7 linked regions of the Rattus norvegicus genome follow. The protein of the gene in region 5 purifies or fractionates together with the protein of the main gene of each other region. This does not show direct contact. Links are inferred from orthologs where the notes say so. Each region holds a gene or a part of one and is shown on either strand. Other genes may lie near its edges. The genes, in order: Znhit6, Wdcp, Tuba1a, Actl6a, Ruvbl1, Nop58 and Nopchap1.

Evidence for each region.
Region 1: the proteins of Ruvbl1 (region 5) and Znhit6 purify together in Homo sapiens (co-immunoprecipitation; 3 studies listed by BioGRID and IntAct, counting the BioPlex papers as one, with this or other methods). This does not show direct contact. The link is inferred for Rattus norvegicus from reciprocal best matches to the Homo sapiens genes RUVBL1 and ZNHIT6.
Region 2: the proteins of Ruvbl1 (region 5) and Wdcp purify together in Homo sapiens (affinity purification with mass spectrometry; 6 studies listed by BioGRID and IntAct, counting the BioPlex papers as one, with this or other methods). This does not show direct contact. The link is inferred for Rattus norvegicus from reciprocal best matches to the Homo sapiens genes RUVBL1 and WDCP.
Region 3: the proteins of Ruvbl1 (region 5) and Tuba1a purify together in Homo sapiens (affinity purification with western blotting; 3 studies listed by BioGRID and IntAct, with this or other methods). This does not show direct contact. The link is inferred for Rattus norvegicus from reciprocal best matches to the Homo sapiens genes RUVBL1 and TUBA1A.
Region 4: the proteins of Ruvbl1 (region 5) and Actl6a purify together in Homo sapiens (affinity purification with mass spectrometry; 10 studies listed by BioGRID and IntAct, counting the BioPlex papers as one, with this or other methods). This does not show direct contact. The link is inferred for Rattus norvegicus from reciprocal best matches to the Homo sapiens genes RUVBL1 and ACTL6A.
Region 6: the proteins of Ruvbl1 (region 5) and Nop58 purify together in Homo sapiens (affinity purification with mass spectrometry; 4 studies listed by BioGRID and IntAct, with this or other methods). This does not show direct contact. The link is inferred for Rattus norvegicus from reciprocal best matches to the Homo sapiens genes RUVBL1 and NOP58.
Region 7: the proteins of Ruvbl1 (region 5) and Nopchap1 purify together in Homo sapiens (affinity purification with mass spectrometry; 4 studies listed by BioGRID and IntAct, counting the BioPlex papers as one, with this or other methods). This does not show direct contact. The link is inferred for Rattus norvegicus from reciprocal best matches to the Homo sapiens genes RUVBL1 and NOPCHAP1.

Annotation. Positions count from the first base shown.
Region 1 is NC_086020.1:237,171,158-237,174,657, reverse strand, and holds part of Znhit6 (box C/D snoRNA protein 1), read right to left. Parts: intron 3,345-3,500; coding exon of another isoform or gene 3,266-3,344; exon of another isoform or gene 3,184-3,265; intron 249-3,183; coding exon 124-248; intron 1-123. UniProt on the Homo sapiens protein: Required for box C/D snoRNAs accumulation involved in snoRNA processing, snoRNA transport to the nucleolus and ribosome biogenesis.
Region 2 is NC_086024.1:33,580,145-33,582,814, forward strand, and holds part of Wdcp (WD repeat and coiled-coil-containing protein), read left to right. Parts: intron 1-1,667; coding exon 1,668-1,782; intron 1,783-2,670.
Region 3 is NC_086025.1:131,993,020-131,997,217, forward strand, and holds the start of Tuba1a (tubulin alpha-1A chain), read right to left. Parts: upstream 2,801-4,198; 5' UTR 2,735-2,800; coding exon 2,732-2,734; intron 978-2,731; coding exon 755-977; intron 624-754; coding exon 475-623; intron 310-474; coding exon 1-309. UniProt on the Homo sapiens protein: Tubulin is the major constituent of microtubules, a cylinder consisting of laterally associated linear protofilaments composed of alpha- and beta-tubulin heterodimers.
Region 4 is NC_086020.1:117,423,731-117,427,230, forward strand, and holds part of Actl6a (actin-like protein 6A), read left to right. Parts: coding exon 1-135; intron 136-2,348; coding exon 2,349-2,449; intron 2,450-3,148; coding exon 3,149-3,246; intron 3,247-3,500.
Region 5 is NC_086022.1:122,488,348-122,492,553, reverse strand, and holds the start of Ruvbl1 (ruvB-like 1), read right to left. Parts: upstream 2,801-4,206; 5' UTR 2,771-2,800; coding exon 2,630-2,770; intron 1,546-2,629; exon of another isoform or gene 1,467-1,545; coding exon of another isoform or gene 1,089-1,466; exon of another isoform or gene 1,027-1,088; intron 176-1,026; coding exon 89-175; intron 1-88. Other genes in the region: Rps25l3 (small ribosomal subunit protein eS25-like), read left to right, coding at 1,089-1,466. UniProt on the Homo sapiens protein: Possesses single-stranded DNA-stimulated ATPase and ATP-dependent DNA helicase (3' to 5') activity; hexamerization is thought to be critical for ATP hydrolysis and adjacent subunits in the ring-like structure contribute to the ATPase activity.
Region 6 is NC_086027.1:68,613,816-68,617,873, reverse strand, and holds the start of Nop58 (nucleolar protein 58), read right to left. Parts: upstream 2,801-4,058; 5' UTR 2,640-2,800; coding exon 2,595-2,639; intron 1-2,594. UniProt on the Homo sapiens protein: Required for the biogenesis of box C/D snoRNAs such as U3, U8 and U14 snoRNAs. Part of the small subunit (SSU) processome, first precursor of the small eukaryotic ribosomal subunit.
Region 7 is NC_086025.1:22,244,351-22,248,338, forward strand, and holds the start of Nopchap1 (NOP protein chaperone 1), read right to left. Parts: upstream 2,801-3,988; 5' UTR 2,787-2,800; coding exon 2,672-2,786; intron 1,421-2,671; coding exon 1,334-1,420; intron 1-1,333. UniProt on the Homo sapiens protein: Client-loading PAQosome/R2TP complex cofactor that selects NOP58 to promote box C/D small nucleolar ribonucleoprotein (snoRNP) assembly. Acts as a bridge between NOP58 and the R2TP complex via RUVBL1:RUVBL2.

The sequences.
Region 1 (3,500 bases), on a different chromosome or scaffold from region 5:
TGGTACGTCACACGATCAGCTGCTGTACACAGTACATTCTTTTACATCTACAAACACAGGCACATGTAGTAGCAGTCACATTATTGCGTGTCCCTTTAAAAAGGTACAAAACAAACTGCTTACCTTGGTGAAGAAGCTGCATGTCATTACTGCAGCCTTTCAATACCACATGCAGAGTCGGATACTCAATGATCACTTTGTTCCTCAAGTTGTTTACAAGACTTTTGGAAGGATCCAGTTCATAATACCTTAAGAAAAAAACCACACTTACGTCTTCTAAGAATCCAGGCAAAAAGACTAATATTGAAATGACTGGACAAGTACATCAGTGCCTATAACCGAATCCATGAGCAGCCGTGACAAGAGGCTCGTGACTTGAGGGCAGCCTAGGCTACACATCCAGTTCCAGGCCAATCTGGGTTCCATTTAGACCTTGTCTCAAGCGATCAACATAACAGCAAACAATCAAAATGTATAGCAAGCAGGGCGCGGTGGTACAGGATCTGTCACTTACTTGGGAGGCTGAAACAGGAAGTCTGAGGCTAGTCTAGGAAATGACTGCAAGATGCCATATTTAGAAAAAAGACCTACCAGATATTGGCACTTGAAAAAACTTAGACCAAGTCCCTAGTTTTCATATAGACTTGGAAATGAACAGTTTTATGTAAAACCAATGTTCAGTGCATCATGAGCTTTTCTTTGACAGGTGAAATTCAAATTCCTCAAATCTATTTACTTTGAACTTTAAAAGAATAAGTGGCTACAAAATACTTTTATAGAAGGTCAAATTTACTTATAACTGGATTCCAGAAGTTTATATTGCCATGCAATTAAATATAGTTTGTCTTCATCTTGACACTTTAATACTTTTGATTTGTGAATGTGATGTGAGAAATCTAAGAATTACAGACTATTGGTCACGGTATCAGACATAGCTGATAATACACAACAGTTAATTACCAACACGCACTAAGGAATAAGACCGCTAAGTTCTTAAAAGACAGAATGGGCCAAAGGTACGTCGTCCTGAAGTCTCCTTTGCCTGCTCTCTGGGTGCTGTGTCAGCTGTGCAGTAATAGTCTGTGCTGGAACACGCTGGCGTCTGAATGTCATTTCAGACCAACAGGAAAACACCAAGAGGAGGCTCACCAGCTTCACTCTCCCCCACGGACAGCACAGGACCCTCACAGGCAGACAAACCCACGGCTCTTCAGGGCATCTGCTGTCCCTGCAGAGGACGCGGGTTTGGCCCCCAGCACTCACACTGGGTGGCTCCCAACCACCTGACTCCAGCCCCAGTAGGTCCCATGCCTCTCTGGCCTCCACAGGAACTGGCACTCACATGCACAAGCCTAACGGTACACACAAGGAAGGTAATGATGACAGAGTAAGTCTTTAGAACAGAAAGCGCGCTGGATTGTGAAGGCTCCAGAGCAAAGACGTCCCCTGGAAGCACTACCCCTGCTGTGATTTGGCATAAATCACTGGCGAGTTTTGGCATCTCTAAATTTACATCGAGTTATTTGTATATGGAGTTATGAACTCCCATAACAGCAATTTCTCTGTTCCAAGGCTGTCCTGTGCAACAGGGGAAAGGGTAAGTGCTTTACGAATGCCAATCCAAGTCTCCCATGATAACAGGTCTTCCTTAGGGGATGACACTGAGAGACTGAGTGTAAAGGAAACCTGTGTGTGAGCTTTTCTGATGATCACTCTACCAAGAACTGGATGGAGTATTTACTTCAGAATCACAGAGCATTACAAAGAAGCATGAAAAGCAAAGTAACTGTGTTTTCTGAACCAGCATCTGTGTTCACACACCATTCTCTCCCTGGGTAACAGAAGACAGATGTGCAGAAAATATTTACAAGTGGGTCCAGGATTTAAGGATCAAATGCTTCACATCTTTCAAACATTATTTCCCTCAAAAATAAACAACGTGGGGCTGGAGGATGGTTCAGCAGTGTACTCAGTGCTTTTGCCCAGGACCTGGTCCATTCCTGGAGGCCACAGGGCACCTCACAACTGTTTGTTACTGCCCTTCCAGGAGATCTGACGCCCTCTGCTAACCTCCGCCAGCACTCCACACATGTGGTGCACTGTGTGCACGCAGGCCAAACACTCAGATGCACAGAATTAAAAATACATTAAAAAGAAACAGTTGTAGTTACACTAAGAAAAACAGGAGATTATACTAGATAACTGAATATAAAATTAGTGTACAGTACACAGTGATGCACCTGAACTTTTCCTAGGGGAAAACACAACCAGGGCTCTCAGAGGTCTCATCAGGCATCAGGGGGTCAGCCTTGAAAGAGCTTACCTTCTACGCACACTTAATCCTAACCACAAGGCTTCCTCTAAGACACCTCACAAATGAAGGGATGTTTCTATTGCGTAAACCAAGCTGGCATAATGCAAAACACTTACTACACAGCTTTTTACAGAACTGTCAACTAAAGAGTTTTTTAAAACATTTTGTTCAAATACGACAGAAAGTGGGTTTGTTGAATGTCTTTTTTTATTTGTGTGTTTAAGTGCATGTCCCATCTAGGAGGTGCCCTCAGAGGCCTGGAGCTATAGGTGGCTATGAGCCTCCCAACATGGCTGAGAATCAAAGTCTGGTCCTCTGTAAAAGCAGCATGCTCTTCTCACTGCTGGGCTGCCTCTGTAGCCCCTGTTCCAGGGTTTCAGTTAGTGTTTGCCCTGCACAGTTACAGCCTCTATCAGAGGAACATTTCTCTTAAGGGCCAGCAAGCATCCAGAGCACTGCTTGGTGACTGTGAAGTTCATATTTCAAAGTAGACTCCCTTAGCTCAAAGTCAGAAATTCTTCAAATTCTAGGACACCAGTGTGCAGCAGTGACTAAAAGTGTACTATGAAGTCATACATAAAGAAAGCCCGTCCAATACATACAGGGTAACATCTTATGGACTTAGAATTTGGCTATAGGAAGCAGTAAGCCTAATAGGAGTTAAAGCCCTTCTCTGCTACTGACTGGTCTGATCCTGGATACATCACTTCTAAGTGTTTAATTACTTTACTTAAATTTATTTACTTGGCATTTACACAGTCTTGAGGGTCAGTCCTTACCTTCCACCTTAAGACAGGGTCTTTTGTTGTTTGCTGATGCCCATAACATACTGGCTGGCATCTAGAAAGCCCAGACATGGGCGACCGTACCTGGCTTTCCCAGGGTACCAGGATTCCAGCTCAGACCTTCACGCCTGTGTAGCAGGTGCTGTCCACTGAGCAGCTCCCTGGCTCACTTCATGCCTTCAATCCTGTTTCCTACTTGCAAACAGGGATGCCAGTGCTTCTTCAGAGCCACGAGCGCTCTGTGACTAAACAGAGATTACTAGTTCACAAACTCAAGTCTGACACAGCTTTTACTTTATTATAACTACAGGACACAGTCTCAGGACTCCCTTCACCTCTGTGTCTATTCTGCCTAGGTATAAGAATCTGACTTCTAGCACAACTCCAAGCCTCTGTGGTAT
Region 2 (2,670 bases), on a different chromosome or scaffold from region 5:
GAGCTGGAGAGGTGGCTGTTAAGAACATGAACTAGGCTGGGCATAGTGGCAGATTCCTTTAATTCCAGCACTTGAGAGGCAGAGGCAGGAGGATATCTGTGAGTTAGAGGCTGGTCTGGTCTACATAGTGAGTTCTAGGCCAGTTAGGCCTACATAGCGAAATCCTCTCTCAAAAAAGAAAAGAAAAGAAATCCCAAGGAAGAAAGGAAGGAAGGGAGGGAGGGAGGAAGGGAAGGAGAGAGAGAGAGAAAGAGAGAGAGAGAAGGAGAGAGAGGAGGAAGGGAGGACAGACCAACAGAAGGACATGTATTGCTATCCTAGATGACCAGAGTTTGGTTCCAGGCTGTCTTCTGACGTCTTCTGGTACTAGTGCACACGGGTATACAGACGCATGTGCAGCAAAACACTCACACACACAAAATGAGTTTGACTCATTTCACTGAACCAGATCTCCAGTTCCATTGTAACACTGTTCCCCAAATACTTAACGAAGAGAATATTTAAATAATTAAAAGAAATGTATAATGTAAAAGTAACTTTTATTTATCATCGCGTGTTTGTATATAATATGTTCGTGTCAGGTGGGCATGCATGTAGAGGTTAGAGGACGACTGTCAACAATCAGAAGCGGGTTGTGGTGGCACAGCCAACGGTGCTAGTGCTGGGGAGGAGGGGCTGACGAATCTCTTGAGTTCAAGGCCATCCTTGGTTACACGGTCATTTGCAGGCCAACCAGGACTATATGTGAGACTGTCTTAAACAAACAAACACAAACCCATCAGTTCTCTCCTTCTGTCTTGATTCTAGGGATTGAACTTGGGTTTCATAACCTAAGTGACAAGTGATTTTTGCCACCGAGCCATCTCACTGGCCTGGTGTCTTAGTAATGAAACTTTTGCCGTGGTGAACACTGTGACCAAAAGCAACCTGTGGAGGAGGAAAGGGTTTATTTCACCCACAGTTCCATATAATAGCTCATCATCATGCAAGCCAGGAACCTGGAGGCAGGAGCTGATGCGGAGGCCATGCAGGGATGCTGCTTACTGGCTTGTTCCCCATGACTTGTCCAGCCTGCTTTCTTATAGACCCAGGACTACCAGTGCAGGGATGGCCCCACCCACAATGGGCTGGGCCCTCCCCCGTCAATCACTAATTAAGAAAATGCCCTACTGCCTTGCACACAACCCAGTCTTATGCCAGCATTTTCTCAGTTGAGGTGCCTTCCTCTTGAATGACTATACCTTGTGCCAAGTTGACATAAAACTAGCCAGCATAAAACTACCTGGCCCTAGAAGTAATATTTTATTCTATGTTCACAATTATGCTTTTAGGTTAATAGTGAATCTTAAGTTAGAACCGTAACAATTTAAAGATATTTTCCTCAAGGTAGATTTTAAATCACTTCTAAAATGACTTCATTCTTTCATGACAAAAAAAAAAATGTTTGTTTTGAGACAGGGTCTCCCTATGTAAGCCTGGGCTGGCCTCAACTTGCCTTGTAGACTAGGCTAGCCTTAAACTCACAGAGCTCTGCCTGTCTCTGTTCCCTATCCCCCAGTGCTGGATCCGAGGCATGTCCACTATGCCCAGCTCCCTCTACATTGTTCTTAAGAGCTGTCAGTCCATTGCTTTAATAGTCGGTTAACCACTTTTACTTTTACTTGAAGAAACCTTGTTCTGTGGGTCCTGCTGAAAAAAGAGCTGTGCTTCTCTGTGACGGCAGACTAAGGCTCAGTACCATTCAACAGATGTTTGGCCTCCACCTCGTTGAAATGCTGCACGGTAGGTGAAAGCCAGAGCCCCCTCTCCCTCCCGTCTGTTCTGAAGCTTCAGGAATGGAAATGGTACCATCCAGCCATTCAGGGGATTCACTAAATAGTGAATAAATATGATTAATTGCCTACTATATACCCTGACTGCCTACTGTATACCCTGCCCCACTAGAGATATTACAACCCTTTCCTGGGGGACTCGTATCCCTTTTTTGTTTTTTTTTTTTTTTGTTTTGTTTTGTTTTTTTTTTTTTTTGGTTCTTTTTTTCGGAGCTGGGGACCGAACCCAGGGCCTTGCGCTTCCTAGGCAAGCGCTCTACCACTGAGCTAAATCCCCAACCCCTCGTATCCCTTTTAAAAAAGAAAACTGAGCTGCAAGGCAGAACATTGCAGCTGCAGCGTTCCCGTTGCAACCCAATGCACCGGACATAGAAACACTGCAGTGTGCAGTTGACATGCTCAGGTGGAGGCAGTGGGGGGATGCGAAGGACAGGACTACACGCAGGGCCTACCTGATGCCCTCCTCAGCACACACAGACCATGGCTGGTCTCTTCCTTTCTTCCTTCCATTTCATTTCATTTTGTAGCCCTCGCTGTCCTGGAACTCACTCTGTAGACCAGACTGGTCTCAAACTTACAGAATTCCTAAATGCTGGGATTAATAAAGGCATGCACCACTACTGACCAGCTCATTTTTATTTTTAAATAGCAGCCACCACATTGAACATAAGACATTTTATTTTTCCCTTTATCATTGTAACATTTTTCAGTTTTGACAGATACATTTACATATGGCTTTACAGTTGCCATTTTTGACAGGTTAGTATTATTTCTGAAGTATACCATTTTTATTTTATCATAGTTTCTTGTTTATGTATTTGTGTTTTATTTTTAAACA
Region 3 (4,198 bases), on a different chromosome or scaffold from region 5:
GTTTAAGTTAGTGTAGGTTGGGCGCTCAATGTCGAGGTTTCTACGACAGATGTCATAGATGGCCTCATTGTCTACCATGAAGGCACAATCAGAGTGCTCCAGGGTGGTGTGGGTGGTGAGGATGGAATTGTAGGGCTCAACCACAGCAGTGGAAACCTGGGGGGCTGGGTAAATGGAGAACTCCAGCTTGGACTTCTTTCCGTAGTCGACAGAGAGCCGCTCCATCAGCAGGGAGGTGAACCCAGAGCCAGTTCCCCCACCAAAGCTGTGGAAAACCAAGAAGCCCTGGAGACCCGTGCACTGGTCAGCCTGTGGGAGAAAAGGACATATAATGTCTTATTACCAGGGCATACACTATTTCAATTCCTTTAGACTGTGAGCCATCTCTACCTGATAGGAAAGACCTGACACATTTTGACAGATACCAAGACACCCTCCCACTGCATTTTAAACCCATCCACATAGGGCATTTACCAGCTTGCGAATTCTGTCCAAGACAAGGTCAATGATCTCCTTGCCAATGGTGTAGTGGCCACGGGCATAGTTATTGGCAGCATCTTCCTTGCCTGTGATGAGCTGCTCTGGGTGGAAGAGCTGGCGGTAGGTGCCAGTGCGAACTTCATCTGAAAAAGGAGAAGACATCAGCCATCACCACCAAGGACCCCACAAGCTCACTCACCCTTCCGGGTCTGGAGAGACATTCTGAGTATGTGACCAAGAAGGACTGCCCCAGGGAAGCCCCCAGTCCACTTACCAATAACTGTGGGTTCCAGGTCTACGAACACCGCCCGGGGCACGTGCTTGCCAGCTCCTGTCTCACTGAAGAAGGTGTTGAAGGAGTCATCTCCTCCCCCAATGGTCTTGTCGCTTGGCATCTGGCCATCAGGCTGGATGCCATGTTCCAGGCAGTAGAGCTCCCAGCAGGCATTGCCGATCTGGACACCAGCCTGGCCGACGTGGATGGAGATACACTCACGCTGTGGAAAGGGGGAAAAAATATCATAAAATTAAGTTGTTGTAATATTAAGCTGTACTTCTATTTTAGATTTTAATAGATTTCTAAAGTGTTTCTAAAAATACAAACATTGTTTAAATTTATTTAGTGTCATATCCCTAATATGACAGACACAATGAGGAAGGAGTACCCACTACCAATACTGAAAGTGGGTGTGGCCTCAATGTCACCTTAGTACTGCTTAAGACATGGTGCCAACCCATTGTTCCCATAGCAGTGTTTGAATAGAAGTCTTCATATTTGAAAAATATTCAAAACATAGATTCTGTAAAATGAAATAATTACCCGAAATTACATTAATTGCTTCTTTTCTTGTTAAGTAAGGATGAAGGTTTCATCCTACAGGACCTGGTATTTCAACGTGGACATCTGCAGTGCGGCTGAGGCCAGCAGCCACACCCTTCTGTGGACCCCATTAGTACTCTGGCTAAGCTGCAAGCTAGACCGAGTCTCACAAAGTTTAAGGTTTCATCCTATAGGACCTGGTATTTCAATGTGGACATCTGCAGTGCGGCTGAGGCCAGCAGCCACACCCTTCTGTGGGCCCGGTCAGTACTAGGCTAGGTTACCTGCTATTGAGTCTGACTTCTGCATTGCCGCGTTCTCTGTGCCTGGCTCTAGCCTGTGGTCTGTTACATTATTTAACAGAGAAAGCTCTATTTCCAGAAGCTGTCTACGTGATCTCTTTGTGCAGCTTTCTGCGTGCCTCCCAACCCTGCCTGGGGCCATCTGCCTGAATTAATGAATGAGTGTCATATATTAGAACAAAAGGCAGTCGGGTGCAGAGTATCATTTTTTTTTTCTTTGCAGCAGAATCATTATGGTTTTTGAAGGTTTTCTATTGGATGGGACGGAAACATTCTTAAAGCAGGCTAAGTTAGAAACACAGTGCACACAATTAGTGCCAACAATTAAAAAAAAAACAAGTGAAAAGATAACTAATATTTAAAAGTAGAAAATAGTATTTTTATCCGATGAATCTCTACATACAACATAATAAACCACTATTCTATAGAGAGAGACACTTCTGCCTTGGAGGGACAACTTTCATTGTCTGCGGGGGTTGGGGGCGGGGAAGGGCGTTTCCCTGGGTTCTGACCGTCAGCTACTCGGGCTTCACAAAGTGGGCTTTGTCATTCCCAACCATCCAGCTCCCCTCCCCCCACCCAGCGAGATGGCCCCGTGGAGCATCTCGTAAGACTACAATTCCCCAACGATTCTTTTTAAAAATAAAAATTAATAATAATAATAATAAAAAACCCAGCTCGGGAGTGAGGCTTAGTGAGAGCGAACCCCTCCCAAAACGCCACGGAAGCAAGAGACAAACAACCCCGCCCCTGCGCCTCCCTGACAGCGGCTGCCATGGATCCCAGGCAAACTATTTTCCCAGCGAGTTAGGGCGGCGTTTCTGGAGTGCGGGCTCGGCCGCCGCCCTGCCCTCCTGCTGCAGCAGACCCTGCGGCACCCTCCCTCTCCCCCGCCGGTCCCCTGTGGTCCCGGGCTCTGCCAGCAATCGCTCGCCGGCGCAGCCTTTGTTCTTCCCGGTCTGGGCGTTTCCGTGTCCCGCACTGCGGCGGCGGGACTCACGGACTAAGCTAAACTTAAAGCATCCAGACCACCCTTCCCCGCAGAGATGACAAAAGGCTTAGGCGTCTCCTTGCAGACTGAGCCGGCTGACACCCACCCGCTCCTGAGAGCCCGGGAAGGTTTGCTCACCATGGTTGCTGCTTCGCGGCTGCCGGGTGGATGGCGGAGGCGAGGAGGAGGTGTTGCTTCTTACAGCGCGACTCTTAAGCGGTCGATGTAAGAGAACCTGCGGCACTTGGGCGGATGCGCCTCCTTATATACAGCTCGGTCACCATGGGGATGGGCCAAGGCCTTTTCCTGTTGGTCCAGACCCCTCCGTCTGCCCAGAGAAGCCGCGACAGGAGAGTGGTGATTGGTGCAAGCGACATGGTATGAGGTAATCTCTCCCCCCTTCCCCCCCTCGCTAGCATCCGTAGATTTTGCATCCTTCAGACAAAGGCCTCGCAAAAGCAACTAGCCGAGCATCCATTATGGGGTGGAGCTGGGGAGGGGTAGAGAGGGAAGAAAGAAAACGGGGGTTGGGTGATTATACGGAGCTTAAACCTTAAACTGTAGTTAGGATAATTTAAGGTTTTCCCCAACACTTAATCACAGAATTTGTGTTGAGATTCTTTATGGTAAATTCCAGCTTTTCATTTATACTACACTAAATTTAAATACGTTCCGTCAGGATTCAACATCTCTGTTCGCTTTAAATAAAGTAGCAAGAGCTATGGGAATGATGGTCAAAAAGGCGTGGGTAAATGTTTAGTTTTACAGTTGTATTATTGTGGTTATTATTATTATTACTATTATTATTAATATTTGAGCAAAATTCAGAAGCTCAGTATGAATAGACCACGCCTATGACCCTCAACAGCACCTGGGAGGCAGAGGCAGGAAGACTTGCAGCTCAAGGTCATCATAACCGCCCTTAGTGGTTTATGCCTGTAAATCCCAGCATTGGGAAGCGGAGGACTGCGGTTATTTTGTACCCGGCCTGGATATATAGTGTGATATCCTGTCTCAAAAACCAAAAACAAACAAAGAGAGAGAGAGAGAGAAAGGAAAAAAGAGAAACAATATACAAAGTAGTACTTAACGCTTTACTAGAGAGCTTGCTTTCTTTAGCGGTAGTGCTCTCCCATCACCCCTCCCCGCTCGCCCCCTTACCCGACCCTACCTCACCCCAGAGCCTGTGTTATTTTGTCCCTAGAAATGAGCCATCCCTTCTAATACGGAATTCAGAAACTGTAAGGAGAAAGGAGTGAGTTTAAAAACGAGCTCTTTGTGTGGGCTTGTATTTCTCCAGCGCTCCTTTTTTTTGAGGGGGAGGGGGTGATACCAAGTAAAAAATAGCTGAGATGCCAAATTAAAAAGAGGAGAGTATTATAATATAAAAAGGAAACCATTTTTGCGATGTTGTTTTCATCCCCAGACAACTGTGCAGTGCCAGCCCTGTGCAGTTTTGTGTAGTTCCCTGAATTCCGTAAATAGCCCCTTTCCGCAGCTGGGCTTCTTTCTGACTGTGGGAACTGTAGAGGCTCGCCCCACTGCTACTGTGGTCGTTGCTCAATTGCCCCTTGGGACAAAAATGCCTTGCTTTCACCCCTAGGA
Region 4 (3,500 bases), on a different chromosome or scaffold from region 5:
ATGATGGAAGCACGATGATGGAGATCGATGGTGACAAAGGCAAGCAGGGCGGGCCCACCTACTACATAGACACCAATGCCCTCCGAGTGCCCAGGGAGAGCATGGAAGCCATCTCACCGCTCAAGAATGGCATGGGTAGGAATTGGCTATAGACAGCAACAAATCTCAGAAGATGAATAACAAGTATTTGTTTGTTTTAATTCGATAAAGTAATATTTTAGATAGTGAGAGTACAGAAATGTGTAAGAAATGTTCTTTTCCTTTAAACTCAAAGTCAGAAGAGTTTGGTGTATGTACAGAAAACTGCGTGCTGTGTACAAGGTTAAAAGCTATGTGCGTGTGGTCAGCAAACAGTGGGATCAGAGAGTTTATAAAGGAGGTAGCTGCTAAGTCTTGAGCCATGGGATAGGAATTCAACTGTCCAACAAGGCTGAGAAAAGCTGAAAAGCAGCAGCTAGTGTGATGAGATGGGAGTTGAGAAGGATATGTTTGAACTGCTTCACAGATGTGGCTGCAGCATTGTGCATGTTAGGTTGCTTGCAGGAAAGGTAGGCAGAGAATGCTGTCTTCTTGGAGCATGCTAAAATAGTCCCTGAAAGCTGGCCTAGGGAAGTTAAATTAAGTAAGGCGTAGTGTGTGCGCTTATCTTTGCCATTCTGAAGGACTCACTGACAGTCTGTAGGGTCTGCTGGAGACAGGACAGTAATCAAAGAGGAGAATGGAACTGAGGAGGGTTTAAACTAAACCACTGAGAACAGAGTCCTGAAGCGACTTTTGAATATCTAGGCGACAGGTGGTACTAGGAGATTAAGGGGGCAGAAAGGAGAGGAGAATTAAGGTTTCCTAGAATTTTGGTTGAGGTGATGAATCAATGGTAATACTCACTAAGATAAGAATTAAAAGGGGAGGCAGGCAGAAATGTTATTGTCTCTGGAGAAAACTCTGAGGTACTCATAGGAGCTATTCATAGGAGGACTCATGATACCACACTGAAAAGACACAGAAGGCATCCAAGGAAAAGGGAGAGGGGATGAAATCCAGAGGAGACCCAAGTCTTTCACTGTGGATGCATAGAGTGTGCTTCTGCCTCACTCTGCACAGTGTAATAATGCATGTATTGTCTACCTAGGAGCTTAGCAGAGACTCTGTAAGGCTTTGAGGGCTGGTCACATCGGACCACTTCTGCCTCTCATACGTCAAAGGTGTAGAAACACAGGTGGGAAGCAGTAATCAACATGAGCTACTTTGCAGACAGGTTGGACACAGTAGCCTACTGTCAGCATACTGGGTGTGCTTTGTATCAGTGCAGGGAACTGTAGACTGTTGAGTGCCGAGACACCAGTGCAGGGTCAGGTTTGCTGCGCTCTCCCATACAGCAAGTGAGTGGCCTGACTTCAGAGTGTATGGGACATTGGTACTGATCTAGTAAGCAGGTCAGCTAAAAGTCATGGAGAAACATTGTAGGTGACCCAGAAAGGGTGTGGAACTTGTAAGAGGTTAAGAACGGGCTTTCTATTGGGAATTTGCTCAGTATTTAACCAGTTGAGATGAGTGCTCAGGAAGGAGAATTTCAGCCTCAAATTAGGTGTAGGGGGAAAATTCAAGAGAAGTTTAAGACTTACAGAGTCAAGTCATGGCCAGTGGGTTGAAATTTCCCCAAGGGAGACATAGGTCCCAGCTACTGTTGAAGACTACAGACTTAAAAAAAAAACATGGGTTTATGGAGAAAACATTTGTAAACCATTGTAATCAGTAGTGCCAGGTAAGGTCAAAAGGTCACATTTAATTGATAATACTAATTGTCCAATGGAACTGTCACCACTTAACCAGTGACACATGAGCAAAGGGTGGGGGGATGCCAGGTTTTGTTTGCTTTGCCTGGAGCTCACAGAGACCTGCCTGTCTCTGCCTCCCTAGTGCAGTGTGCTGGGATTAAAGGTATGCAATGTCACGTCTAGCTACTCTGGATTTTTAAAACACCTTTAAATCCTTAGTTTTCTAACAGATAGTGTGTATTTTGCTTTTTGTTTTCTTCCTAGCTCCAGAAATAATTGTGTCTAGCTTATGAGCTGCTTTCCCTCTCTGATCACCCACCTGGCCTCTAGCAAGAACTAGGTGTCTGTTAAGCACCCCATTTATATTTGGGGCAGATCTGAGGCCCACCTGGAAGAACCAGAAGGAGATTTTATATGCAGAAGACGATACTGTCCTTTCTGTAAAGTACTGTGTTACAAAGTAGATTCTGTATATTGAGATACTAATTATAAGTCTAGAAACAGTCCTTTTGTCTTAGATGATGCTCATTCATCAGCTAAGCCTTGTTTCCTGCTCTGACTCTTACGTTCTAGTTGAAGACTGGGATAGTTTCCAGGCCATTTTGGATCATACATACAAGATGCATGTCAAATCTGAAGCCAGTCTGCATCCTGTTCTCATGTCGGAAGCACCGGTGAGACCGCTTTCTCTTCTAGTTTCTCTAGTGTATGCTCTTTTTCTTCTTTTACTTTCTGCTCATTTGAAGATTTTCTTTTTGTTTTTAGAAAAAAATACACTTTTTAAAATTAATTTATTATGTGTGTGTATGCACACACGGGTGCTCATGTGCCAGGCACACATGTAGAGGCATTAATTCTCTCTACCATGTGGATCCCAGGGCTCTAACTCAGGCTGTCAGGATTGGGGACAAAGCAGACTTTACCTGCTGAATTATGTTGTTGGCTTTTTGTTTTCTTTTAAAGAGTCATCAACATTTACATTTTGAGTTTGGAAATTTGGGGAAAGATTAATTTTGATTATGGTTATAACATTATTTCAGCAAATGAAATAATTGACTTTGTGAGAACCAGTTACAAGTGGGATGATTGAGTGTTTTAAAATTCATATTTAGTCTTTTGATTACCAGGTTTAATATTTAAGAATACTTTTGTTTTTAGAGTCTTAATTTCCCTGTGATTGTAAAGTCTTTATTTCTAGAACTCATAGCAGCTAACAGTTTTACCTGTTGAATAATAGAGTTTCATTTATATATTTTTTTTAAAAAGGACCTCTTAACTTCCTTCACCAATATGACTCTGTAATGTGGTATGAAATGAATCAATGCTTTAATTACTGTTCAGTGAATAACCTATGTCCTTTCTCCCTTCTCCAGTGGAACACCAGGGCAAAGAGAGAGAAACTGACAGAGTTGATGTTTGAGCACTACAGCATCCCTGCATTCTTCCTTTGCAAAACTGCAGTTTTGACGGCGTATCCTTAAACTATAAGACAGCTTTTCTCAGTGTGTGTAAGACATTAATGGAAGAAGTGGTTTTTAGCTTTTTACCTTTCTTTGAGTATTTTTTAAGGTCCTCCCTGCCCCCCATTCTTGGTGTGTGTAATCATTGTACACAGTGTTGGGGTTCATAAAGACACTCTTCCTTCAAGTATATCATGGACCTGGACCATATTCACTCACTTCTTCTGCTTAGATTCACCTGCCCCTCCTGATATACTCTCCCTCT
Region 5 (4,206 bases):
CAAGGCCCTGGGTTCGGTCCCCAGCTCCAGAAAAAAAGGGAAAGAAAAGGAAAAAAAAAAAAAAGAGAGAGAGAAAATGAATGAATACCTTGCCAGTTCCAGGAGGCCCTGCCAACAAGACAGCTCTTCCAGCCATTTTCTTGCTTTTGATTAATTCGACTATGACACCACATGCCTGCACAAAACAGAAAGAAACAATCAGTCAATCTTAAAATGCTTCATGGTAGAAACAGTTCAGGGCTTGGTCCACACAGTTCCGATGCTCTTCTGACAGGACACCACTGCTGTGGGGTGGAGCGGTGGGGGTGAGCCACGTGCTCTAGCTCATGCCATATGATGGCTCCCACAAAGAGAGAAGCAAAATGAGACACTGAGCAGCTAGGGAGAGCTGGGGCGGAGGGGGCTTTCTCATAACCTTGTATGTAACATTTGAAGCCCCGGGCAGAAATCTACATTTCAGGCAAAAATTGCAAATTGAAAATAACCAAAGTACAAGTTTGATATGTCTAAGGGTCAACATGCTGCAGCTACCAAAGTATAGTGAACAGAAGGGAAAGGGGAGGTTGAGGCAGGCAGGAGCCAACACAGACCTAGTACTTAACAAAAGCAGCAGGGCTGTGCATTCCAGGCCAGTTTGGCTACGGCAACATTATCTAAACAAAAAGGGTGTGCTATGAATCCAACCAATAAGAGTTGGAAAGAGCTGGTGAGATGCTCAGTGGGTAAAAAGCACCTGCAGTGTAAACCTTAGTTCAATCCCTGGATCCCACAATGGAAGGAGGAACCTCTGACCTCTACCCAAACACCATGGCAGGCCTATAACTGCACAGCCTACGCACACATTGTGTCAAATAGGAAAAGAAAGAGATACCAGCTAAGGAAGCCAGGTGCATAGTAAAGGCCCACGCCTTTAATCTCAGCACTCAGGAGGCAGAGGCGGATGGATCCCTGTGAACTCAAGGCCAGCAGGGTCTACAGAGTCTCAGGACAGCCAGAGCTAAAAGTGAGACCCTGTCGTGAAAACAAACATACAAAAATAAATACCAGAGTGTGGCTGCAGTGGTCCACACTACTCTCTGAGTTTCGCCATGCTGCCCAAAGACGACAAGAAGAAGAAGGATGCCGGAAAGTCGGCCAAAAAAGACAAGGACCCAGTAAATAAATCTGGTGGCAAGGCCAAAAAGAAGAAGTGGTCCAAAGGCAAAGTTCGGGACAAGCTGAACAATCTCATCCTGTTTGACAAAGCTACTTACGACAAACTTTGTAAGGAAGTTCCCAACTATAAGCTTATTACTCCAGCTGTGGTCTCCGAGAGACTGAAGATTCGAGGTTCCTTGGCCAGGGCAGCCCTTCAGGAGCTACTTAGTAAAGGACTTATCAAGCTGGTTTCAAAGCACAGAGCCCAAGTAATTTACACCAGAAACACAAAGGGTGGAGATGCCCCAGCTGCTGGTGAAGATGCATAAACAGATTGAATCAGCTGTACATTTGGGAAAATAAAACTTTATTGAATCAAAAAAATAAAAAATAAAAAAAATAAATAAATACCAGCTAATGACAATAATAATAAGGGTGAAGATACTGAGTACCAGGGAGGCTGCTAGCGTGATTGGCCAAACAAGAACCCAGTGCAGAGGCAGGTCTAGAACAGACTCTGAAGTCACATACAATCCAGTATCTATCCTGGCCATTTCACTTGAGGTGAGTGTCCTCAGATTTATTTTACCTAACACCTATTACTCATCTGACTCCGAGTGTTCAAAACAACTGTACCCACAAGGAAGGGCTTATGTGCAAAGTGGGCTGATGTCCACAGTTTACTCTGACTTGTGACGGTAGACATACATGAACAGATATACCATAAAGCATCACTGTAAAATGTTAACTGTAGAATTTTGGCACACTGGGATTTAATGTGCAAACATGTCAATGTTTCTGTGTGCTTAGAAACATCAGACCAAAGTGAGGTTTATTAGACAGAAATGAAATAACAGACAATAAAGCCGCCTGACAAATAGAAAGCATTAAACTATTGCTTGCAAAAAAAGATGCAAGTGAGCTAGGGTCAAACGTTTCCCTTTTGGATAGATGATGCTCTTGAGGCTGGGAAAGCAGTCTTCACCACATATAAACAGCAAGTTTTTGTAGATACTGAGTCTCTGCAGGGATCAAAGTGGAGCAGTCTGAGGAAATGGGAAGAGTAATCATTTGGGGTGGGGTCGGGAGAATACCAGCCTCATTACTGCTGAACTGGCAGGTGGTTAAGCGACCTGGCCCACCTTTAATTTCTTCGTGTGCAAAACAGAACCGATCGAAAGACCTGGCATAACTTCCAATGACTTTAAGAAGACTGAACTGGAAAAGCTAGAGTGCTTGGATGGGGAATAGGTCATAGTGTTCCTCCTCACCGCTCCACTTAACAGATCAGCTCCCAGGCCTAAAGAACCCATATCAACTCCGAAAATTTAGTCAATTCTACATTTAATCCCACAGCTTTCCACTGTGTTTCCGGTGAGGCCTAATTTGCCTGCCGTGACCCTTGCTGGCTAATGTGATCCTCACTTCTCAGACAAATCTTAGTGAGACCTGGTCCCGCCGCCCACACCGCGTGCACACGCCCCACGCCCACCTCTCTCGCGTTCTCCTGGCCCACGAGCCCCGAAGCCGCCTGCTTGGCCAGGCCGCTCTCATCCAGCCCCAGCCCCTTCACGTGGCTGTGGGAGGCAATGCGTTGCGTCTTCGTGGTGCTCTTCACCTCCTCAATCTTCATTTTGACGAGTGTGTGCAGCCACAACCTGCGTGGAGACTAGGAACTACGGCACGCCAGGCGCCTGGGTTACCACGCGGCCGTTACTAGGCCGCTCTCCAGGACCCGCCCTTATTAGTACGCCATTGGTTGAAGCGAAAAGACTTCGTTTTCTATTGGCTACAAGCTACGCTTGTCGGCGGCTGAGTTTCACCCACCAACTTCCGTCTGTGTCACAGGTTAGGTTCCCCCAGGGCAGGCATTTCCTGCCCTGGCCAGGTTTGACTGGGAACCGTCAGATTCTTAAGCGCTATTAATGTGAATGGCAGGTTTTTAATTATAAACTCCTCTTTTAATGCTTTTTTTCTTTAGTATAAGATGTTTATGCCAGGGTGAGTTGACTCCTTCACTGACAATTATTAGACCTTTCCCAGGTGCTTGGATGTCCTGAGAGAACTATCAACGAAGCAGCTGCCCAAAGTTCTCCCACTCACACCTAATTTAGACACCCCAAGGATGCCCTGAGGAAGCTGCCCAGCCAACCACTCTTTTCCAGCCCATTTTTTCCAGAATACACTAGATCCTGAAGGCACTATTCCAGCCCAAACTTTTCAAACACTTTATGTCATGATTTTGATCATCACATGCCCAAGAAACTTTTAAAAAAGAAGAGAAGGTGTCTCTGCCTCCTGAGTTGCTGGGATTAAAGGTGCTGCCACCATACTCTGACCAGCCATTTTCACCTGTCTTGAGTGGGTACAGTTCTCCAGGTAGCCAAACAAAAACTGCCTGTGACTTGTGAAGAAACATGGCCCTTTATTTGAATAAGCAACTGTTTGGTTATTGGTGCAAACATGGTAGTCCATTTCCACAACCCACTGTACCATAGTGTAAATTTAATGCTTCATTTGCATGGAGGGCTGTACTAAGGACAGCAAACATTCTTGTTTACCCTCTGACATTCTGGCATTCTAAGCAGGTGCCCCTCACTTTTAAGTCAGCCAGGAGACACCCTCCTGTGCTGTACAATGTACAGTTGTGTTGTAACATTAGTCCCATTGTAAGATTTCTCCAGTGGTCTATCCACCTGGATTAATAGTATGGTGGACTGAGCTGGTAATATGAAGACATGCCGAGTGGCTATAGCAGTGAAGACAGTGATAAAAGGCAGCTAGTGAGTTCTAGAGTGACTGGGAACAGAAGTGACAAGTGACAGGCAGCCGAGAAACCAAAGGCAGAGATTGCTAGACAAGTTCCAGGGAGTGCCAAGTCTTTTCATTTTTGTAATCTATCCATATGGGTGTTTTGCCCACAGGTGTGAACGCACCATGCAGTGCTCAAGGAGGTCAGAACAGGGTGTCAGATCCCCAGGAACTGAAGTTACAGATGGTTGTGAGCCATCATATGGGTATTGGGAATTGAATTTGAGTCCTTTATAAGGACAGCCAGTGCTCTTAACT
Region 6 (4,058 bases), on a different chromosome or scaffold from region 5:
TAGAAGATAACAAAAGGATTAACAGAATTGTCATATTTGGGAGATTTTTGTCCCATTCTCTTATGCCTGCTGTTGGAGGTCAAGACTGTCCCCTAGAACTGGAGGTACAAATAATTGTGAGCCACCATGTAGTTGGGTGCCGGAAAGGTAAGTCCTCTGAAGAACAAGTACTCTTAGCCACTAAGGGATCTCTTCAGCCCCAAATTGTCATCATTCTTAAAACTAAAGTTAAAGCAGAAAGAAAGCGCAATAAAATCATGGTGATTAATAGTTATCCAAATTATTTACAAATCCTGTAGAGCAAAGAAAACTTTGGCTGTACCCAATCATGCCACCATATATCGTTTCTAAGCAGTAATTAGAACACTCACTGCCTGACCCAAGCATGAAAAAAATCTGTAGCCAATACAACTGAAGGTATTGGAATGTCTAGAAATTGAACCAAGGGCCACAAGTGCCAGGCAAGTATTTTTACTATATCCCTAACCCTGTTTTCCTTTTATTTTATGACAAAATCTCATTAAATCACTTCCATAGGTCTGTCTTCACTTCCAGGAATTATAATTCATTAGTACGGGCATTAGTCTGTGCCAACAGGGCTTTCTCTCAAAATCTAATTCATATTCTATCATTTTGAAAGATCATGGAAAAAGGCAGCAACTAGTATTGTTGGGACTCACATAAAATATTCACCTTGCGCAGTACGCAATTCCCTTCTCACAAACTGCAATCACTAGCACTAGATCTAGAATATGCCTCCAGTAATATAAATACCAAGTAATTATAAACTGAAAATTTCAATACTCAACCCTCCAATAAAGTAACAACACACAGCACATTTATCACAAAAACCATGGAACACTGGAGTATCCTAATAAGTAAATAATAGAATGCTCAGCACATGGACACTCACTCTACCTCATTGTTTCCACATCTCAGTAGTCTGCCATTGTTCAACGGTTTCCATGATAATAAAGTTGTAAGCTATTTCTTACAATGAGAAATGGCTCAGTGGCTAAAAGCATCCACTGCTCTTCCAGACACCTGGGTGCAAATCCACATGGCAGTTCACAATTGTCTGTAACTCCACTAACTGACTTCACAGACACACATGCAGGAAAAACACCAAAGCACATAAAATAAAGAAAATAAAAAACCACCAAAACCTTTCCCTATTTAAACAAGGGACACTAAAGTTTAATAGCAGCCACCTAGATTTCTCTGCATGTTTGCAATTATGAACTCCCTGGTTTATACAATCACATCAGGATAAGCCTCACATAGTCCAAACTGGAAATCATGAACATGTCCCCAACTGTCTCACTTAAACAAAAACCCATCAATCCTGTTGCTAGCAGCCCAAATTTCCATTCAAGCAATCTCATTGAATTTAAAAACAAAAAACAAACAAAAAGGACATGACACTTCTAGGTATGGGAAGAGGTTTCATTGCAGATATGAGGGAAAGAATACAGCCAGAGGCATCTAGAATGGTCCAGGCTGAGCAGGGACAAGAGAGGAACAGAAAGACCAAGACCAAATCTGACGACCAAGAGACAGTTGTGGACAAAATGGCTGGGTTATATAGAAATCAGTTAAGCTGGGAAGGGTTCTAGCCCAGTTACTGGGCTGAAGAATATACAGGGAGACTGGCGGCCAGTCAGATTTGCCGTTAATAGGCACCTCAGCCATTTGTCCTGAGTCCTAACATTCATATTGTCTAAATTAAACCACAGCATAACTTTCTCTTGTTCCTTCCTGTTATCACACAGTAAAATAATGTTTCGATAAAACAAATTACACCAGTCAGTACTCAAAACCTTCCAAACATGCCTGAAAGGACCCTGATCTTGGAAGCCAGCTTTAATCTACTTAAATATAAATGGAATGTTAGGGGCCAGCCAATCCTACACAGCGAGACCCTCCCTGAAAAATAAAAGCCCGTGGATGACGATGCACACCTTTAATTACAGCATTTGGGACAGAGGGAATTCCAGGGCAACTCGAGCAGCAGAGAAACCCGGTCTAGAAAAACACAAAATAAATAACTGGGGCTGGAGAGATGGCTCAGTGGTTAAGAACACTGACTGCTCTTCCAGAGGTCCCGAATTCAATCCCCATCAACCACATGGTGGCTCACAATCTGTAATGGGATCTGATGCCCTCTTCTGGTGTGTCTGAAGACAGCTATACTCATACATAAAGTAGTAAATGTTAAAGAATATAAAAAAATTACTGATCTTGAATTAGGGATGTAGCTGTGTGACAGGACGCTGGTCTAACATGTACACTTAGGTTCTATCCCCAACACCGTAAATATTTTTATTAAATGAACGTTTTATTATTACTTGTAAAAAAGGGTCCTACCCATTTTTTAAACTGAGCAAATCTCTAAAGCAGAGGAGGGCGCCCTAAAGTCGGAGAAGCCACGTGTTCACTTGAAAAACCGGCTCTTGATTTTTCACATCCTTTCGGATCTGGGAACTTGAAAGACACTCAAATGTGTTCCGTTATTCCGTCTCTCCTTAAATCTTAACATGGATAGCTGTCTGTCCCACATAAGCCTTTTGGCTCAACAATTCCATCTCACCTACCTTAAAGATGGCGTAGCCAACGGACGTTTCAAATAGGACCAACATGGTGAGGCCAGATCCGGGCGCTACGCGGCTAACCGCGAGCCCTTACTCCACTGCAAAAGACTAACTTTCGGCTACTGAAGGCTCCCTAGGCCTCAGACGCTGGGAAGCGCAAACGCCTTTGCCTACCCGCGGGCGGGGAGACCACGTTGCCTAGACGTTCCACACCTCTCCGCATGGAGCAGCAAATACGAAAGTCTCCTTCTCCAAGGATTCTGGGATGTCAACGTCACTTCCGGTCGATTAATGCCGCAGAGCGTGAGGTCATTTCCGGTTTTTTCCCGCCCACAGAGGAGACCGGAAGAAGGCGGTCTCAAGATATCGCGAGACTTTTGAAGTCCTGAACTGATTTTGAGAGCTGTCAGTTTACGCGATTATGTGAAAAATAAGTTCTGTGTAATTTATTTATATATTTTATTATATACAATATATAAAGTACATGTGTATAATTTACAGCACATTATGCTACCTCCCGCCATGTAAAGGACATTTTATTTTAAAACAACGCAGAACACTTTCTTAATGAGGACTTGCATTCCTGTCCCATTAGTCAGTTCCAAGGGATCTGACACACCCTCTTCTAACCTCCTGGAAGCCAAGTTGTAGGCAATTGTGAGCCGTCACGTGGGTGCTGGGAACCCAATCAGGTCCTCTGCAAGGGAAGCAAACTTTTATAACCAGGAACATTTCCTGGTGGTTTTCCTCTCTGGTCAAACAAGTTTTTAGCCAAGATTTCTTCCATTTTTTAAAAAACGATTTGTTTATTTATTTCATGTATGTGAGTACACTATCACTGTCTTCATGCACACCAGAAGAGGGCATCAGATCCCATTACAGATGGTTGTGAGCCACCACGTGGTTGCTGGGCCTTGAACTCAGCACCTCTGGAAGAACAGCCAGTACTCCTAACCGCTGAGCCATCTCTCCAACCCCAAGATTTCTTTTATAGCTATAAGTATAAGTATTTTTTGAGGGGGGGTTTTGTGTGTGTGTGTGTGTGTGTGTGTGTGTGTGTGTGTGTGTGTGTGTGTGTGTGTGTGTTTAAAGTGATCCCGAGGTATGAGTTTAAACATGTCTCAATGCAATTTCTTTTATGGAAACTTTCAGCCTTAGCGGCAGGGTTCATTTTAAGACAAAGTCTTATGTATCTCAGACTGGCCTCAAATTCACATGACCTTGCTAAAAACAACTTGTTTATTTGTTTGCCACAGGGTCTCTATGTAGTCCTGTATGTCTTGTAACCATGTAGATCAGAGAAGCCTTGAACTCATAAAGGTCCACCCATCCCTACCTGCACAGTAGTGAGATTACAGGCAAATGCCACCACATTGACTTTATTGGTGCTGGGGATGGAACCCAAGGTTTGGTTCCGTACATGTTAGGGGAGCACTTTACTAACTGAGCTGCCTCCATAGCCTTTTG
Region 7 (3,988 bases), on a different chromosome or scaffold from region 5:
CTTCAGGTTAGTCTAACACCGAGAGAGCAGAGCAGAGACCGGCAGCACATGGAGAAAATGAGCATTGGGATCCAGATACAACTTTTAGTTTCTAACTCTGGTTTCTCTTAAAGCAATCAGAGCTTTTGCTCTTAGGCAATTCAGAGTTCTAACTAATGCATTCAATCTCACCACCATGCTGGTACCAGCCAGAATCTGAGAGAACCTCAACTGAGGAAATGCCTCTGCAAGACCCGGCTGTAGGACATTTAATTAATTACTGATTGATGGGAAGGGAGGGCCTGGCCTATTGAGGGTGATGCCATCCCTGGGCTGGTGCTCTTGGGTTCTACAGGCAAGCAGGCTGAGCAAGCCAGTAAGCAGCACCCCCCATGGCCTCTGCATCAGCTCCTGCCGCCAGGTTCCTGCCCTGCTGAGTTCCTGTTCTGACTTCCTTCAGTAATACAGTGACGTGTAAGTGTAGGCCGAATAAACCACCCCCCACCCCAAATTTGCCTTGGTCTTTGGTGTTTTATCACAGCAAAACAAACCCTAACTAGGACAGAAATGGGTACTGCAGTCATGGGGTACTGCTGTGGCAGAGACCCGACTGTGCTTTTAAGATTGTAGAAGAACTTTGGGCTGGGCCATTCTGTAGAGAGCTTGGAGGAGAAGAATGTTGAGAGCAATGCAGATGGAGGTCTGGCTTGTGACATTTCAGAGGTCAGTTTGAGAGTCCTTTAATGCTTCCCAGAGTATTAAGAGTTATGGGTTCATGAAGCCACACAGCTCAAGTGGGTTCCAAGGATTTGAACCCTGGTCCTCATGTTTGCTCAACAAGCACCTGTTCTGAGCAATCTCCTGGAGTAAATACCTGCCAGGTGTGGTGGCACACACCTTTAACCCACTTCTTGGGAGGGGGAGGCAGAGTTCCAGGCCAGCCAGGGGTAAGAGACTTGTCAGAGGGGAGGAAAAAAACAGACTTGGCATGGCAGCACGTAACTCATTCTAGAATTGGGTGAGGTAGGAGAATCTGGAGTTCAGGGTCCTTCTCAGCTACACAGTGAAGCCTGAGGCCAACCTGGACTACATGAGACCCTGTCTCAAAAGGGGGAAAAAAAAAGATCTTAAGTAACTAGCTGGACCTTTTGAAGTTTCAAAAATACCTTTCATTCAGAAAAAAATTGAAGGGAGGTGATGAACATGAAAAATTCTATTCCTCAGAAAATGGTTTACACAATGTATTTGACTCTCTGGTTTAGTATGAGCCATGAAGACAGGCTATCCCATCACAAAATGGATTAACTAGCCTTAATCAGGGGAGTGTCCTCTAGAGTAGAAAGGAGGTACTTACAAGGGCTCCTTTGTACCCGAACTGTTTGAAGGGTAGAGGCCTTTCTGGAATGAGGCTTAGAGTTGATAAGCAGCTGGTCCCAGACACCTGAAACCACACACAATTAACGGCATAAAACAGCCCTGAGCCACAAGTGCAACTCAGAAATGATAGATTAACAGTGAGAGAGGGGCCATCAGCACAGCCCTTAGGACTACCTACAGTCTGGACCATTCCACACACTGACAGAGAAGGAGCAAACACCCCTGTCTATATATACATCCATCTCTCCTCTCTCTGGCCATCTCTCACCCACCTGTAGTACTCAAATACACACTGGATTCTATCTTCTGAGTTAACAAAAGAGGTTGGGGGGCTGGGCATGGTGGGGCACTCAAAAGGCAGACAAGTGATCTCTGGAGCTCTAGGGCAGCCAGGACTACACAATAGAACTGTCAAGCACTAATTGCCCTTGCAGAGGCCAGGGTTTGAGACCACGCACCCACGTGGGGACTCATACTGGACTGTAACTCCAGTTACAAAAGATCACTTTCTGACCTCGTAAGACACCAGGGATGCACAATCCACAACTTTAAACAACAGAATTAGCAAAACTTAGTCTTCAAGTTTAAAGTTAGAAATGCTTTAATTTCAGCACTCAGAGGCAGAGGCAGGCCAGCCTGGTCTAACAGAGCAAGTTTCAGAACCAGGACAACACAGATTGGTTTTTTTTGAGAATTGTTTTTTTGAAACAGGGTCTCACTACATTATACTTGTGGCTGTTCTAGAACGTCCTATGTGGACCAGACTGGTCTCGAACTCAAGAAATCCCACTGCCACTGCCTCCCAAGTGCTGGAATTAATGAGATGTGACACTAGCGGAAATGCTGAGTGGATTTCCCCGCACACAGGTCTCCCTCCGCCAAGGCCACACTAAGGAGTTTGTACCCAAATCAAAAAATAATAAAAATGGTATTGTCTGCTCTTTACCTTCCAAGCCGGTCCAGACCAGGTAGTCCTTGTAGAGTTCATGAAGAACCTCCCAGGTCCGGACTGGCCTAGTTGTACCCACCACGACTGGCCCGGTCATCCCTGACACCGGCAGAGTCCCCGCCCCCTTAGCGTCCGGGACTCCGCGGCATCCCCGACCCCCGCAGCGTCTCGGGCCTCCTGGTGTCCCCGGTCCTCGCAGAGACCCGACCCCTTGCAGTCTTGGGCGCCTTAGTGTCCCTGAACCCCGCGGCGTCCCTGGTCCCGGGAGCGTTCCCAACCTCCCGCAGCGTTCCAGGTCCTGCAGCGTCTTCGACCCCGCAGCGTCCCCGGTCCCGCCAGCCCACCCCGCTCTTCGCCGCCGCTCACCTCGCGAACCCTCGCTCCCCGCCGTCAGTAGCTCCCTGGACACCGTGATCCGCGAGCAGTCCACAGAAGACGAAGAAACCCCAGGACCACTCGCGTGCTCACCACGGAGCGCCATGCTTCTCAGGCACTGGGAGTGGAAAAGCCCGGATATAGAAAGGCACGGGGAAGGGGCGGGGTCAAGGCGGCAATTGACGGAAACTCGGAGGTGGGCGGTGACTTAGGAGGGTGGGGCGGTGCGTGGCGGGAGCTCCTGCCTGCAGCTGAAGCCTCCAGCCCACGGGGACCGGAAGCGGGGGCGGGCCCCAGGCGGGGGGCGGGGACACCACACTGCCTGGGCGGACCGCTAGGATTGCACGTGTCCGAGTCCAGCCAAAAGGTCTCCTTCCTTACTACTAGTAAGCGTCAGCCCAGCTAGGTTAAGCTAAGCAAACGCAAGCGTGAAGGTGATACGAGGCCTTTGTCGTTATTCTATTTTTGTTTTTGTTTGGGGAGGTTTCTGTGGCCCTGACTTTGTGGCAATCCTGCCATAATTTGTAACTTACAAACGCCAAATTATAGGTGGGAGCCACCACACCCAGCTTCTTTAAAAAAATTTTTTTTTGTTTAACCGGCTGGCCCAAGTTGGCCTCAAATTCACAATTTTGCCAGTTTCAGTTTCCTTGCACTTAAATCTACAGGCACCCGTTTACTATGCTTGCCTTAGTTTGTTGCTTGTTGAAGTCTCACCGAGTTATTCTTCTTGGCCTAGTACTCAAAAGTCCTCCTGGCTCTTTCTAGCCTCCTAAATAGCTTGAATTTAAGGTCTGGATGAGCAGACCGAGCTTAGTTCACTATTCAATGGTAAACACAAAACCCAGCAGTATCATAAATGCTGTTTATATTGCTATATATACAACAAGCCTTTGGAACATTGTCATGTCAAAATGAAAATTGTTCCTGGTGGTAGCTAAGTGGTGAAGTTGTGAAGGGAGCCCTAAGTTTGGTCTCCAGCATCAAAACAAACCCTTAATTTTTTTAAAAAGCTGAAATAAAACCATTGAATGATAAATCCCATTCCTCCTCTCTCCCTGGCCCTGGGACCCAGTGCTCATGGTTTTGCTGGGAACAAGGAAAAGAAACATTTGTAAGCACTACCATTTCATTTTCAGACTCCATTTAAATCATAAGGAGAAACAAAATTCAAGGCCCCACGCACTAGGGGAGCTGGGGACTTCCCTACAGCTGAAGAGCTTTTGTCTTAAGCAGGTGTCTGAGTTTAGACTTCTCGGGAACAACTTGTAAGGAGACAGCTGTCTTGAGTCCAGCCATCTCAAGAGT